2 linked regions of the Callithrix jacchus genome follow. The protein of the gene in region 1 purifies or fractionates together with the protein of each later gene. This does not show direct contact. Links are inferred from orthologs where the notes say so. Each region holds a gene or a part of one and is shown in the gene's direction. Other genes may lie near its edges.

Region 1 (5,972 bases):
CATAGTAATTTGGCATGTCTTAATAAAGTAATATATTTTAAAACAAGCAAAAAACTTACAGAAGTGTTTTGGTGTTCGTGACATATATTGAATTCCTACTTTTACCTGATAAATTTGAAAACTAAAATATTAATAAAATTATTTCTGAATATATTAAAATACATTGATTAACCAGGCCAAACAATTGTGTAAACTTCAGCAGTCCTTGAAGAAGTTTATGGACTTTTCTGCAACAATCGACTTTCTGAAGTTTTATCTCCCAGGAAAGCCTCCTGATTTAACTGCTATGTCCCAAAATGTTTAGCATAATTGTACACTAATTAGTCCATAGTGTCATATTTCTATTTCTTGGTAAACAGTTCCTGCACTTTTTGACACTACAAGTCAGAGTTCAAAGGATTAAAATGGTAAAGAGAAATGTGATCATTTCAACACCAGAATGGCGAAAATTTTGTTTTAAAATTTCCCAACATTCTGAACCTGCTACTAATAGTTTATTTTAAAAATCCGTCAAATGCTAAAGCATTGCTTCACATCTTAAGAACTTACTGAACATGCGTAGACCAGTTCCAAGCCTAAGTAAGTGAAGATACTTGAAGATATGAGCAGCAAATAGATTTGACCTATGTTCAAATCATATGTGAGTCAAAAATCCTTGAATAAATAGCTCGATGCAACAAGTTAGAAAACAGAAGAAAAGGAAAGGAGGAAGAGTCAGTCTAAACTCAGCCTCACGTTTTTTTAAGCACAGCTACCGAAGTCTTTACAAGTCAACTAGTGAGCTGTTTTTGTTCTCATTATTTACAAAACATCTATTATTGACAAATTGGAAAGGACTTTGCAAAACTACAGCAGCACTTTTCAAACATGGAAAAAAAAAACAAAAAACAAAACTATTGTGTTGTCCAAAAAACACATTAACCACTGGCCTTGGGTCTTAAAGGACAATGAGGATAGTTGGTTACTGTGTAAGACAGGTGAATTAATTATAGAGTTTTGAGTAAGAAAAGCCTTTTTCCACTTTCTAAATCTTCAAGGATGCCTTATCTCCTTGATCTCTCTAAGTATAAGCGGTATTTCTGACTTGCTTTTGGGGCGACAGTGAAGTTATTCTAAATCATGCACATCAGGACAAGCATTTCTTTCCACAGCATATTAAGAAATAGGGAATTGAATACAGCTTTCCATTATTCTTAAGCGATTTCTGACTGACTTCCCACCACTTGAAAATTGCCCTGGAATTTTCACTACCTTTATATAAATAAATGATTTAGTAGAGAAATAAAACAATCAGATGCAAAAGAATATTACGCTTTGCTTACATGTGAATTTTCCTCAAAATAGTTTCTGAATAATCATGAAGTGGGGGCTGTTTTCCTTTCTATCTCATTGCCAAAACGCCTGGAGATGGATCCTAAATCCTTGAAGGAGCAAGCTCGGGGCGCTCTGGCTCGTCTTTAAGTTGGCAGGCGATTGTTTAGAAGCTTTGGAAAAAATTACCAGTCGCCGCGGACGAAATGCAATGTGAGACATGCAATCTAACGGTAGTATAGAAGAGAAGTGGAAGATCTCCCTCTCCTTTTCCGATCGCCACTTCTGCGTCCCCGGCTTTTCCTCTCCGTTCCTCCCACAGTTTCTTTCTTTATCCTCCCCCTCCCCTCCTCCTTTCCTCGCACGCTCCCTCTCCAGTGTCTCGCGCTCTCGGAGTCTCTGCTCCGAGTTCCTGGTTGGATAATTTGGGTTAATACTAGTGAGTGAGGTTTTTGCGGCTTCAAAGGGTATTTCAAGTTTCCGGAGCTCCTCCCCTCTGCACCGTGTGACAACAACAACTCGTCCAGCCGGCAGCCTGCACTTTTCAGCTCATTTTCTCTCTGTCATTCGCCTCTCAATCTTTGATCAATGTACTTGCCAGGGAGAGCCCAAGTCCTTCAAACCTCCTCCTTTTCACCTTCATCCTTAACTTTGTGCTAGAGCGGGACCCACACAACAACAGCCGACCCTCCCCGCCCCCGCCCCCACCCCCCCAAACCAGCCCTCCATCCCAGCCCCCGGAGAGGACTCGCATTTCGACTTGCGGGACACTTTTGTGCGTTTCTCTCCAGAGCGCCTCTCGTGCTCGCCCCTCCTGCGCTCGCTCTTTATCACCTTCACCTCCTTTTCTCCCCCTTCTCTCCCTTTCTCCTTCTCGTTCTCTCCTGGAGTTGTTGTTGTTGCCCCCCTCGCTCCTTCTCCCCCCTTTTTTCCCCTTCCCCTCCCGGGGTGTGTGGCAACTTTTCCCCTCGCTTCTCCTCCGTCTGCTTCCCCTTATATGTGACCATGGCAGTGCCGGCGGCTTTGATCCCTCCGACCCAGCTGGTCCCCCCTCAACCCCCAATCTCCACGTCTGCTTCCTCCTCTGGCACCACCACCTCCACCTCTTCGGCGACTTCGTCTCCGGCTCCTTCCATCGGACCCCCGGCGTCCTCTGGGCCAACTCTGTTCCGCCCGGAGCCCATCGCTTCGGCGGCAGCGGCGGCCACAGTCACTTCTACCGGCGGTGGCGGCGGCGGAGGCAGTGGAGGCGGCGGCGGCAGCGGCGGCAATGGAGGCGGCGGTGGCAGCAACTGCAACCCCAGCCTGGCGGCCGCGAGCAACACCAGCGGCGGCGGCGGCGGCAGCATCAGCGCTAGCGGCGGCGTCGCCTCCAGCACCCCCATCAACGCGAGCACCGGCAGCAGCAGCAGCAGCAGCAGTAGCAGCAGCAGCAGCAGTAGCAGTAGCAGCAGCAGCAGCAGCAGCAGCAGCAGCAGCTGCGGCCCCCTCCCCGGGAAACCCGTGTACTCAACCCCGTCCCCAGTGGAAAACACCCCCCAGAATAATGAGTGCAAAATGGTGGATCTGAGGGGGGCCAAAGTGGCTTCCTTCACGGTGGAGGGCTGCGAGCTGATCTGCCTGCCCCAGGCTTTCGACCTGTTCCTGAAGCACTTGGTGGGGGGCTTGCACACAGTCTACACCAAGCTGAAGCGGCTGGAGATCACGCCGGTGGTGTGCAATGTGGAACAGGTTCGCATCCTGAGGGGACTGGGCGCCATCCAGCCCGGAGTGAACCGCTGCAAACTCATCTCCAGGAAGGACTTCGAGACCCTCTACAATGACTGCACCAACGCAAGGTGAGTAGCGGGGGGTAGCCTCCGCCACCCGAGCCCCTTCCCACCCGCCTGCTCGCCATACCCTCGCTCCCTTCCCGGCGCCGCTCGCTCCGCGCGCCCGCGAGTCGCGTGCCCATGCGAGCGCGGCCCTCTCCTCTCCCTGCTCGGGGCTCACCCGCCGCGCCCAACCCCCTGAGAAGTTGGCACCTCACCCTACCCAGACCTCGGTCTTGGGCCCGGTCCGCCCCCTTGCCCGCTGCGTCCCGGGGATGAGCTGTAGTGGGACGCGGGAACTCTTAGCCTCAGGGCGGAGGGGACTAGAGGGAGAAAGACGGCGCCTTTCCTGCAGCCACAGCCCCCTGCCCCGGGCGCGCGGGTGCCTGGGGACACCTCTCGGAGCTACGGCCGGCTTTCGTGCGCTCCCCATGGCCTGGGCTCCTTCGCCAGCCTCCCGGCACCGATGGGGCTGGTCGGTGGCGCCGAGCGGCGTCCTGGGGGCGGGGAGAGGTCGTGACCTGCCCCGCAGGGCTTGGGGAGCGGGGAGACGTGCTCCGGGTGAGGGGCCCGCTGGGAAAGGCGAGGGAGCCCGCCTGCAGCAGAGGAGGGCACTTTGAGGTCGGGAGGGAAACGACCGGCGAGGCTGAGAGATCCGGACCTTCCCGGGGGGTTGAGCTCCGGGGAGTTGAGCTACGAAGTCTGGAGGGGAAGCCCGCCGAGGGGAGGGGTCTGTGTGTTCGCGCATGTGTGCCTGTGTCTGCGTGTGAGCGAGTGTGCAAAGGAAATAAGGGGATTCGGTGGCCCCGGGGCAGATGCGAGGGCACCAGCAGGTTTTCCTCGGTAGGGGGAGGTGACCGAGTGCCCGAGACTCAATGGAAGCTGAACTGGAGAGATTGGGAAGGAAAGCGACGGAAGCGCGCTGTCTCTCGATCTCTGTCTCTTTCTCTCCAAAGTGTTTTCTTTCTATATTTCTCTCTCTTTTCTTTTCTTAAAGGGTAGTAGCTTACGCAGCGATCAGGTGCACACTTACACTGAGATGCTCAGCGGGCCTGCTACTCTGTGCCTTGGCTTCCCCAGCCCAGCAAAGCGCGCGCACGGAGACGGCGGCGGGACGGGTCCCCAGCCAGACCAGTTTTATGCTAATGAAGGCTCAGTGGGGGAAGATCTACCGGGAGGGGGCGGGAGTGGGGCAACCTGTCAGTTTCGGGGTAGAGACGATCATTCCACCCCCTTTCACAGCTCCGCTTTGTCCCTACGGTTCGCTGCCTGGAAGCGCAGACGCAAAAGTTCAGACAGATGCCGGGAGAAAGAGAATAGGGAAAGTTGAAGACTTGAAGCAGGCACGTGGGAACTGCGCGCAAAATTTGCGCGGAAACTTCGGTACCCTCTAAATAAGTTTGAAGGTTGAGAGGAGGAGCGGAGTTGGTGTGTGCCCCCGCAGAGCCAGGGAAACTGAGGTGGGAAGGAAGGAAGTGTAACAAGGAGACCAGAAGGACATTGGGATGAAAAAGCGCTAGTTTTTTCCACGGAGGAAGACTCCTAGCTTAGCGCCCGGGAAGACTGTGAAACGAAAAAGATTCGAATTCCAGTCCAGCAATTGTCCTATCCTGACCTAGCCAGAAATTCTTTTCCGTGTTTAGGTACCCTTCATTCCATGGGACATGGGTGTGTTTGGGCTTTGAACCTTCGACTCTTTTGGGGTAAATGCTGTGTATGTGTGTGTGTGTGTGTGTGTGTGTGTGTGTGTGCGTGTGTGCACTCGCGCTCAAATGTATGGACAGGTGGCAGTAAAGATTGGGGGGGGTGGGGCTTGTGGAACCAAGATCACTAAACGCCACTTACTCAGATCATTGGAGTTCTTGGTCATGCAGAATATAAATATTTGCCCAAAATCTATGTTAAAACGATTAGAATCAGGGCAGAAAAATTGATCCGGAGTTATGAAAAAAGCTGGGTGAAATTTGAAGCTAGTTTAGATATTATTGTTAAAAAATTATCTGCCTATCCAGTAAATTGGTGAATCGCTACCTATTTTTATTCTTTAGTAATCAAACATCTACTCTCCTCGGAATCCTCTTACTGTGTTTCTTACAGCACACTAGACACTAGGTAATTAAAGGCCATTTCACATACACACAGATACACACAATTGCTGGATAAAACTTCCTTCAATGACTGCTTTATAATAAATGTTATAATTAATGTTAAACTTGATTTTTTACCTGAACTTCTGCCTAGATTTGAAGTCCTCACCATATGGTTGGAGAATATTCTTAAAGTTATTAACTAAAATTTTTTTCAAGTTTTTTCCCCCTGAGGTTAACAACAGATCTGGAGTTTAAACTTGCAGAGCCAAGATGAGTTAAATCCAGTGGAACTGTTGATCTCTTCACAAATATCTCATCACTACTGTAATTATGTTTCAATCACCTGGCCTTAATAATTTGCAATTGCATGCGTTGCTCTAAAACCCTATTTTAAGTTATTTTTAAGTTAAATATGAGAAGTTTGTTCATTTAATATTGAATTTGATTATATATCAACTAAAAAGCTTACCCAAACTTAAATACATGCAAATGCTGTAGTCATTAACTTGAGAATGTATTTAGTTGCAAATACCTACCTTGGTTTTCCTAACTCTGCCACTGATTGAAGAAATTGAGAACTTATAATGGAACTTCCCTCTCACCAAATATACTGTTTACTTTATATTACTGTCTTTAATGATAATTATAAGCATTATTGTCTTATTTCTTACCTTTCAAAGCTTTGAAATGTTTTGCATCTTTTATTTGTAAAACTATGATTACTTTTTTCATTCAAGTCCAGTTTATATCTTTGCTATGA
Region 2 (6,166 bases), on another chromosome or scaffold:
ACTGTTATAAAAAAATTTAGAACAACAGCTCCCTTATTACAACAGAAAATGATTCAGAGCAACAGACAGAAGGAGAATGTTCTCCCCTTGAGGGAAGTAACTGGATCTTGCTATCACTGTATACCTACCCCACCCCCTCCCCAGTTCAGTGCCTGGCTCACAGTAGGCTTTCAGTTACCCTCTGCAGATCACTGAAAGCTAGGTGAGTGCCCGGAGCGAAGAAAAGTTGGCAGGTTTCCCACTGATACCAGCTGCTGTTGGTTTCTGAACACTCAAAGCCGCAAATACCTTAGGGCTGGGGGCAATGAACCCAAGGCTGAATTCCAAGTTCAGAAGCAGTGAAGTCCGAATTTAGAACCTAAGAACTTTAAACTGCTGCAGGTCCAACTTCAAGCCCCAGTTCTAGACAGAGGCCTGGGAAAGAGCTGACTTCTAACCCTGTTCCCCCCTCCTCCTCCCCCTGATGCTTCTCACAGGAAAGTACACCTGGTCCTGCCAAATCGCACTCTTATATCCTGGCATTCCGTTTAGACTTCTGTGAGGATGGAAACTGCGAGGCAGGGGAGGGAAGCGGGCTGTTTGGCCACCACCTCCCTAGTCCTGTAGGCGACCCTGTCACACTAACTCCTGGCAGCCCAGGGAGGTATACTGCATCGGCCCCACCGGCAGATGAGGGACATGAAGCTCAGAGAAGTTCCATGATTTCCTCGTTCCGCACTGTGGCAGCCTGGCCACGAAAGAACCAGGATTCCCGACTTCAAGATTCTTTCCACCACACACTTTCGTCCCTAAGGAGTGGGGGCGGGGGGGGTGGTGGGGAGATAAAATAACAACCGCGGAAAAGGAACCACTTACATGTGTCTAGCGCTTCCTAGAGGCTACCCAGGATATGGGCCCACAACCCGGCCCGGAGTGCAGAGATTTGAAGTCCAGGTTCTATCCCGGGCTCCGAGTTCTACTGCGTGACTTTATGCGAGCGTCCGCCGCCTTCTGGGCTTGTTTTCCCGGAAGCAACACGGCGCAGATGGAGTGTGTGTGTGTGTGTGTGTGTGTGTGCGCGCGCGCGCCTGTGTGTTGAGCGTGCTGTGTTAAGCGTGTGCGTGTTGTCCGGGGGCGGGAGGGGGAGTATACTAACACCGGGCTTCCCCAAGTTTCGGATTGCCTACATGCTTGTTCCCATCTGGACCCTGTTACCCACTAATTGCTCTCACTATAAAAACTGCCCCTCCAAGGCAAAGCTATGAACCCCCGCGTCCCCGGAGGATGAAGAGAGGTGCAACGGAGACTCAGCTGAGCGTTCAGTTTCGGGCAATACAAATTTCTCGGCTTCTATGAGCAGCCAGACGACCCCGCGGACCATCGCTCCTGAACTAGACCAAGACAAAGTTCCGAGCGTTCTCAACTTGGGGGGCCGACTCTCGCGAGACCGCCCCCAAACTTAAGCGCCCTTAGGCTCGCCCCCAACTGGGACTTCACAGAGCCACCTTAAGGGCGGTGCTCCCGCCCCCGGAAGTGCGCGGGGGGGGCCACAGACTTGGATTCTCAGCCTCCTGCCCCGCGCGGTGGCAGACGCCGGCGGATGACTTCGAGCCCCACAAGTGGAGAAACCCCAACCACCCCTCGCCCGCACCCTTGGCCCCCAACAACTGGCCGGGTTCCCTGGCCTCCCGCGTCCCCTTATCCCCTGCATCTCTGCATCCCTGTCCGGAGCCGTGAACTTGAGCGCCCCCCCCCACCCCAGAGACGTTGCGAGCGTCCGCCCGCTCGCGGCAGCCACCGTCACTAGACAGTCAAACCCCAAGACGTCAGCCCACAATGCACCGGGCGGGCCAGCAAAAACGGCCGGGGGAGGAGACCAGGGAAGAGAGGGCCGAGAGGCGTGCGGCAGGGGGAGGGGAGGAGAAAGAAGGGACCGACTGTAGGAGGGCAACGGAGCATTACCTCATCCCGTGAGCCTCCGCGGGCCTAGAGAAGAATCTTCTAGGGTGGAGTCTCCATGGCGACGGGCGGGCCCGCCCCCCTGAGAGCGACGCGAGCCAATGGGAAAGCCTTGGGGTGACATCATGGGCTATTTTTAGGGGTTGACTGGTAGCAGATAAGTGTTGAGCTCGGGCTGGATAAGGGCTCAGAGTTGCACTGAGTGTGGCTGAAGCAGCAAGGCGGGAGTGGAGGTGCGCGGTCTCAGGCAGACAGACAGACACAGCCAGACAGCCAGGACTGCAGTAGAGTCCGAGCTGCAAATCTTTTCTTTTCCATCTTCTCTCCAACTGCCCAGAGCTAGCGCCTGTGGCTCCGGGGCTGGTGTTTCGAGGAGTGCGGGGAGAGCCTGGTCTCCAGCCGCCCCCGGGAGAAGAACCCCGCTGCCCAAGCGCTGCTGACAGCGGCGGAGAGCAGCGGTACCCACGCGCCCGCCGGGGGACGTCGGCGAGCGGCTGCAGCGGCAAAGAACTTTCCCGGCTGGGAGGACCCGGGCCAAGTGGCCCAGAGTCCCGGAGCGAACTTTTGCAAGCCTTTCCTGCGCCTTAGGCTGCTCGACGGCGGTAAAGACCAAAAGGCGTTGGAGAGACGCGCGAGAGAAGGACGTGCGCTCAGCTTCGCTCGCACTGGTTGCTGAACTTGGGCGAGCGCAAGCCGCGGCTGCCGGGCGCCCCCTCCCCCTCGCAGCGGAGGAGGGGACAAGTCGTCGGAGTCCGGGCGGCCGAGACCCGCCGCCGGCTGGCCACTGCGGGGTCCGCACTGATCCGCGCCTCTGGGAGAACCGCCGCTCCTGGAAGTGAGTTCGCCCGCGGGCTCCGAGGAACCGCTGCGACCGAAGATCGCTCAGTGAGTGACCGCGACTTTTCAAAGCCGGGCAGCGCGCGCGAGCCAACAAGTAAGAGTGCGGGAGGCATCTTAATTAACCCTGCGCTCCCAGGAGCGAGTTGGTGAGTAGGGCGCAGCGGGGACGACTGCCAGCAGGCGCGCACGCTCTTAGAGAAACTTTCCCCGCCAAAGGCCCGGGGGGACGCGGGTGTACCCCGCTTGCCAGAGCGCTGTTGCGGCCCCGAAACTTCTGCGCGCAGCCCAAACTAACCTCACGTGAAGTGACGGACTGTTCTATGACTGCAAAGATGGAAACGACCTTCTATGACGATGCCCTCAACGCCTCGTTCCTCCAGTCCGAGAGCGGAGCTTATGGCTACAGTAACCCCAAGATCCTGAAACAGAGTATGACCCTGAACCTGGCCGACCCAGTGGGGAGCCTGAAGCCGCACCTTCGCGCCAAGAACTCGGACCTCCTCACCTCGCCCGACGTGGGGCTGCTCAAGCTGGCGTCTCCCGAGCTGGAGCGCCTCATCATCCAGTCCAGCAATGGGCACATTACCACCACGCCGACCCCCACCCAGTTCTTGTGCCCCAAGAACGTGACAGACGAGCAGGAGGGCTTCGCCGAGGGTTTCGTGCGCGCCCTGGCCGAGCTGCACAGCCAGAACACACATCCCAGCGTCACGTCGGCGGCGCAGCCGGTCAGCGGGGCGGGCATGGTGGCTCCCGCGGTGGCCTCGGTGGCGGGGGGCAGTGGCAGCGGCGGCTTCAGCGCCAGCCTGCACAGCGAGCCGCCGGTCTACGCCAACCTCAGCAACTTCAACCCCGGAGCGCTGAGCAGCGGCGGCGGGGCGCCCTCCTACGGCGCGGCCGGCCTGGCCTTTCCCGCGCAACCCCAGCAGCAGCAGCAGCCGCCGCAGCCGCCCCACCACTTGCCCCAGCAGATGCCGGTGCAGCACCCGCGACTGCAGGCCCTGAAGGAGGAGCCTCAGACAGTGCCCGAGATGCCCGGCGAGACGCCGCCCCTGTCCCCCATCGACATGGAGTCCCAGGAGCGGATCAAGGCAGAGAGGAAGCGCATGAGGAACCGCATCGCTGCCTCCAAGTGCCGAAAAAGGAAGCTGGAGAGAATCGCCCGGCTGGAGGAAAAAGTGAAAACCTTGAAAGCTCAGAACTCGGAGCTGGCGTCCACGGCCAACATGCTCAGGGAACAGGTGGCACAGCTTAAACAGAAAGTCATGAACCACGTTAACAGTGGGTGCCAACTCATGCTAACGCAGCAGTTGCAAACGTTTTGAAGAGAGACTGTCGGGGACTGAGGGGCAACGGAGAAAAAAATAACAGAGACAGACTTGAGAACTTGACAAGTTGCAGCGGAGAGGAAAAAGAAGTGTCCGAGAACTAAAGCCAAGGGTATCCAAGTTGGACTGGGTTGCGTCCTGACGGCGCCCCCAGTGTGCACGAGTGGGAAGGACTTGGCGCGCACTCCCTTGGCGTGGAGCCAGGGAGCGGCCGTCTGCGGGCTGCCCGGCTTTGCGGATGGGCTGTCCCCGCGCGAACGGAACGTTAGACTTTTCGTTAACATTGACCAAGAACTGCATGGACCTAACATTCGATCTCATTCAGTATTAAAGGGGGGAGGGGGAGGGGGTTACAAACTGCAATAGAGACTGTAGATTGCTTCTGTAGTACTCCTTAAGAACACAAAGCGTGGGGGGGAGGGTTGGGGAGGGGCGGCTGGAGGGAGGTTTGTGAGAGCGAGGCTGAGCCTGCAGATGAACTCTTTCTGGCCTGCCTTCGTTAACTGTGTATGTACATATATATTTTTTTTAATTTGATGAAAGCTGATTACTGTCAATAAACAGCTTCATGCCTTTGTAAGTTATTTCTTGTTTGTTTGTTTGGGTGTCCTGCCCAGTGTTGTTTGTAAATAAGAGATTTGGAGCACTCTGAGTTTACCATTTGTAATAAAGTATATAATTTTTTTATGTTTTGTTTCTGAAAATTCCAGAAAGGATATTTAAGAAAATGCAATAAACTATTGAAAAGTACTCCCCTAACCTCTTTTCTGCATCATCTATAGATACTAGCTATCTAAGTGGAGTTGAAAGTTAAGAATGTCAATTAAAATCTCTCTCAGTGCTTCTTACTATCAAGCAGTAAAAACTGTTCTCTATTAGACTTTAGAAATAAATGTACCTGATGCTATGGTCAGGTTATATACTCTTCCCCCAGCTGTCTATATGGAATTGCTTACCAAAGGATGGTTCGATGTTTCAGGAGGCTGGAAGAACGGGTTGGGGGGTTGCAGTGAAGAGGGACGGCCCACTGGGAACTCAAACATTTCAAAGTTTGAGATTGTATCAAGTGGCATGTGCTGTGACCATTTATAATGTTAGTAGAAATTTAACAATAGATGCTTATTCTCAAAGCCAGAATAGGTGGCAGATTTTACAAAAAATGTATCCTTCCAATTTGGAATCTTCTCTTTGACAATTCCTAGATAAAAAAGATGGCCTTTGCTTATGAATATTTATAACAGCATTCTTGTCACAATAAATGTATTCAAATACCAATAACGATCTTGAATTGCTTCCCTTTACTACTTTTTTCTTCCCAAGTTACATACTGAAGCATTTCTTTTCAGTTGCTGAGGTTAACATTGCTGCAATCTGAAGTGTGACTCGTAAGTTAAGAAGCAAAATATTTAGGGAAAGTCAAACTAGAAGTGGTGATCTGGATGAAACAGTTTCCCAATTTCATTAATCCCCCTGCCCTTTCTCCATCTCTGTCTCTCTCTCTACTACCACCCCTCACCCCCAAATAAACACCTATGTCTAAGGAAACTAGCAGTTTAGCATTTTAGATCTGTCTATAGTTTATTTCTTAATTTGTTTCTAAAATAACCTTGTTTAAATAATTAGAGAATCAGTCTCAAAAGACAGTAATCCAATACTATGGTAAAGATTCGCAAGAGAAAACATGAACACCAACACAATGATTACATGTGTAAATCAAACCCCAGCTCTGGGAAACGAGAAACTTAAATTCTGTCTACAGATATAACTTAGGAGATCAACGAGGCAGTGCTCAACAAGGGAGCAATTTTTTGCTTGGTTGCTTTTCATCCCAAGAGCCAGTGTGATTATCAGGCAGCAAAAGCAATGTGATATCCAGGAATATTTCACAAACCACTAATTGAGGCAGGGCTGTTTGCTCATTAGCAGTGTTCTGGTATCTAACAGGTCTGGGAGTGCTAATATCCTGCCTGTGGCTGTAAATCCAAATACACAAAGAGTTTCTCCTTAGGAGTATATCTAGGAGTGGAAGAGATTGGACAGGCTTGCTAGCTTCAAATGTG

The links.
Region 2: the proteins of DACH1 (region 1) and JUN purify together in Homo sapiens (affinity purification with western blotting; 3 studies listed by BioGRID and IntAct, with this or other methods). This does not show direct contact. The link is inferred for Callithrix jacchus from reciprocal best matches to the Homo sapiens genes DACH1 and JUN.

What each region holds. Positions count from the first base shown.
Region 1 is NC_133502.1:43,444,635-43,450,606, forward strand, and holds the start of DACH1 (dachshund homolog 1), read left to right. Parts: upstream 1-1,876; 5' UTR 1,877-2,316; coding exon 2,317-3,149; intron 3,150-4,155; exon of another isoform or gene 4,156-4,246; intron 4,247-5,972. UniProt on the Homo sapiens protein: Transcription factor that is involved in regulation of organogenesis. Seems to be a regulator of SIX1, SIX6 and probably SIX5.
Region 2 is NC_133508.1:95,862,710-95,868,875, reverse strand, and holds JUN (transcription factor Jun), read left to right. Parts: upstream 1-2,127; 5' UTR 2,128-3,098; coding exon 3,099-4,103; 3' UTR 4,104-5,381; downstream 5,382-6,166. Other genes in the region: uncharacterized protein LOC128928178, read right to left, coding at 856-857. UniProt on the Homo sapiens protein: Transcription factor that recognizes and binds to the AP-1 consensus motif 5'-TGA[GC]TCA-3'.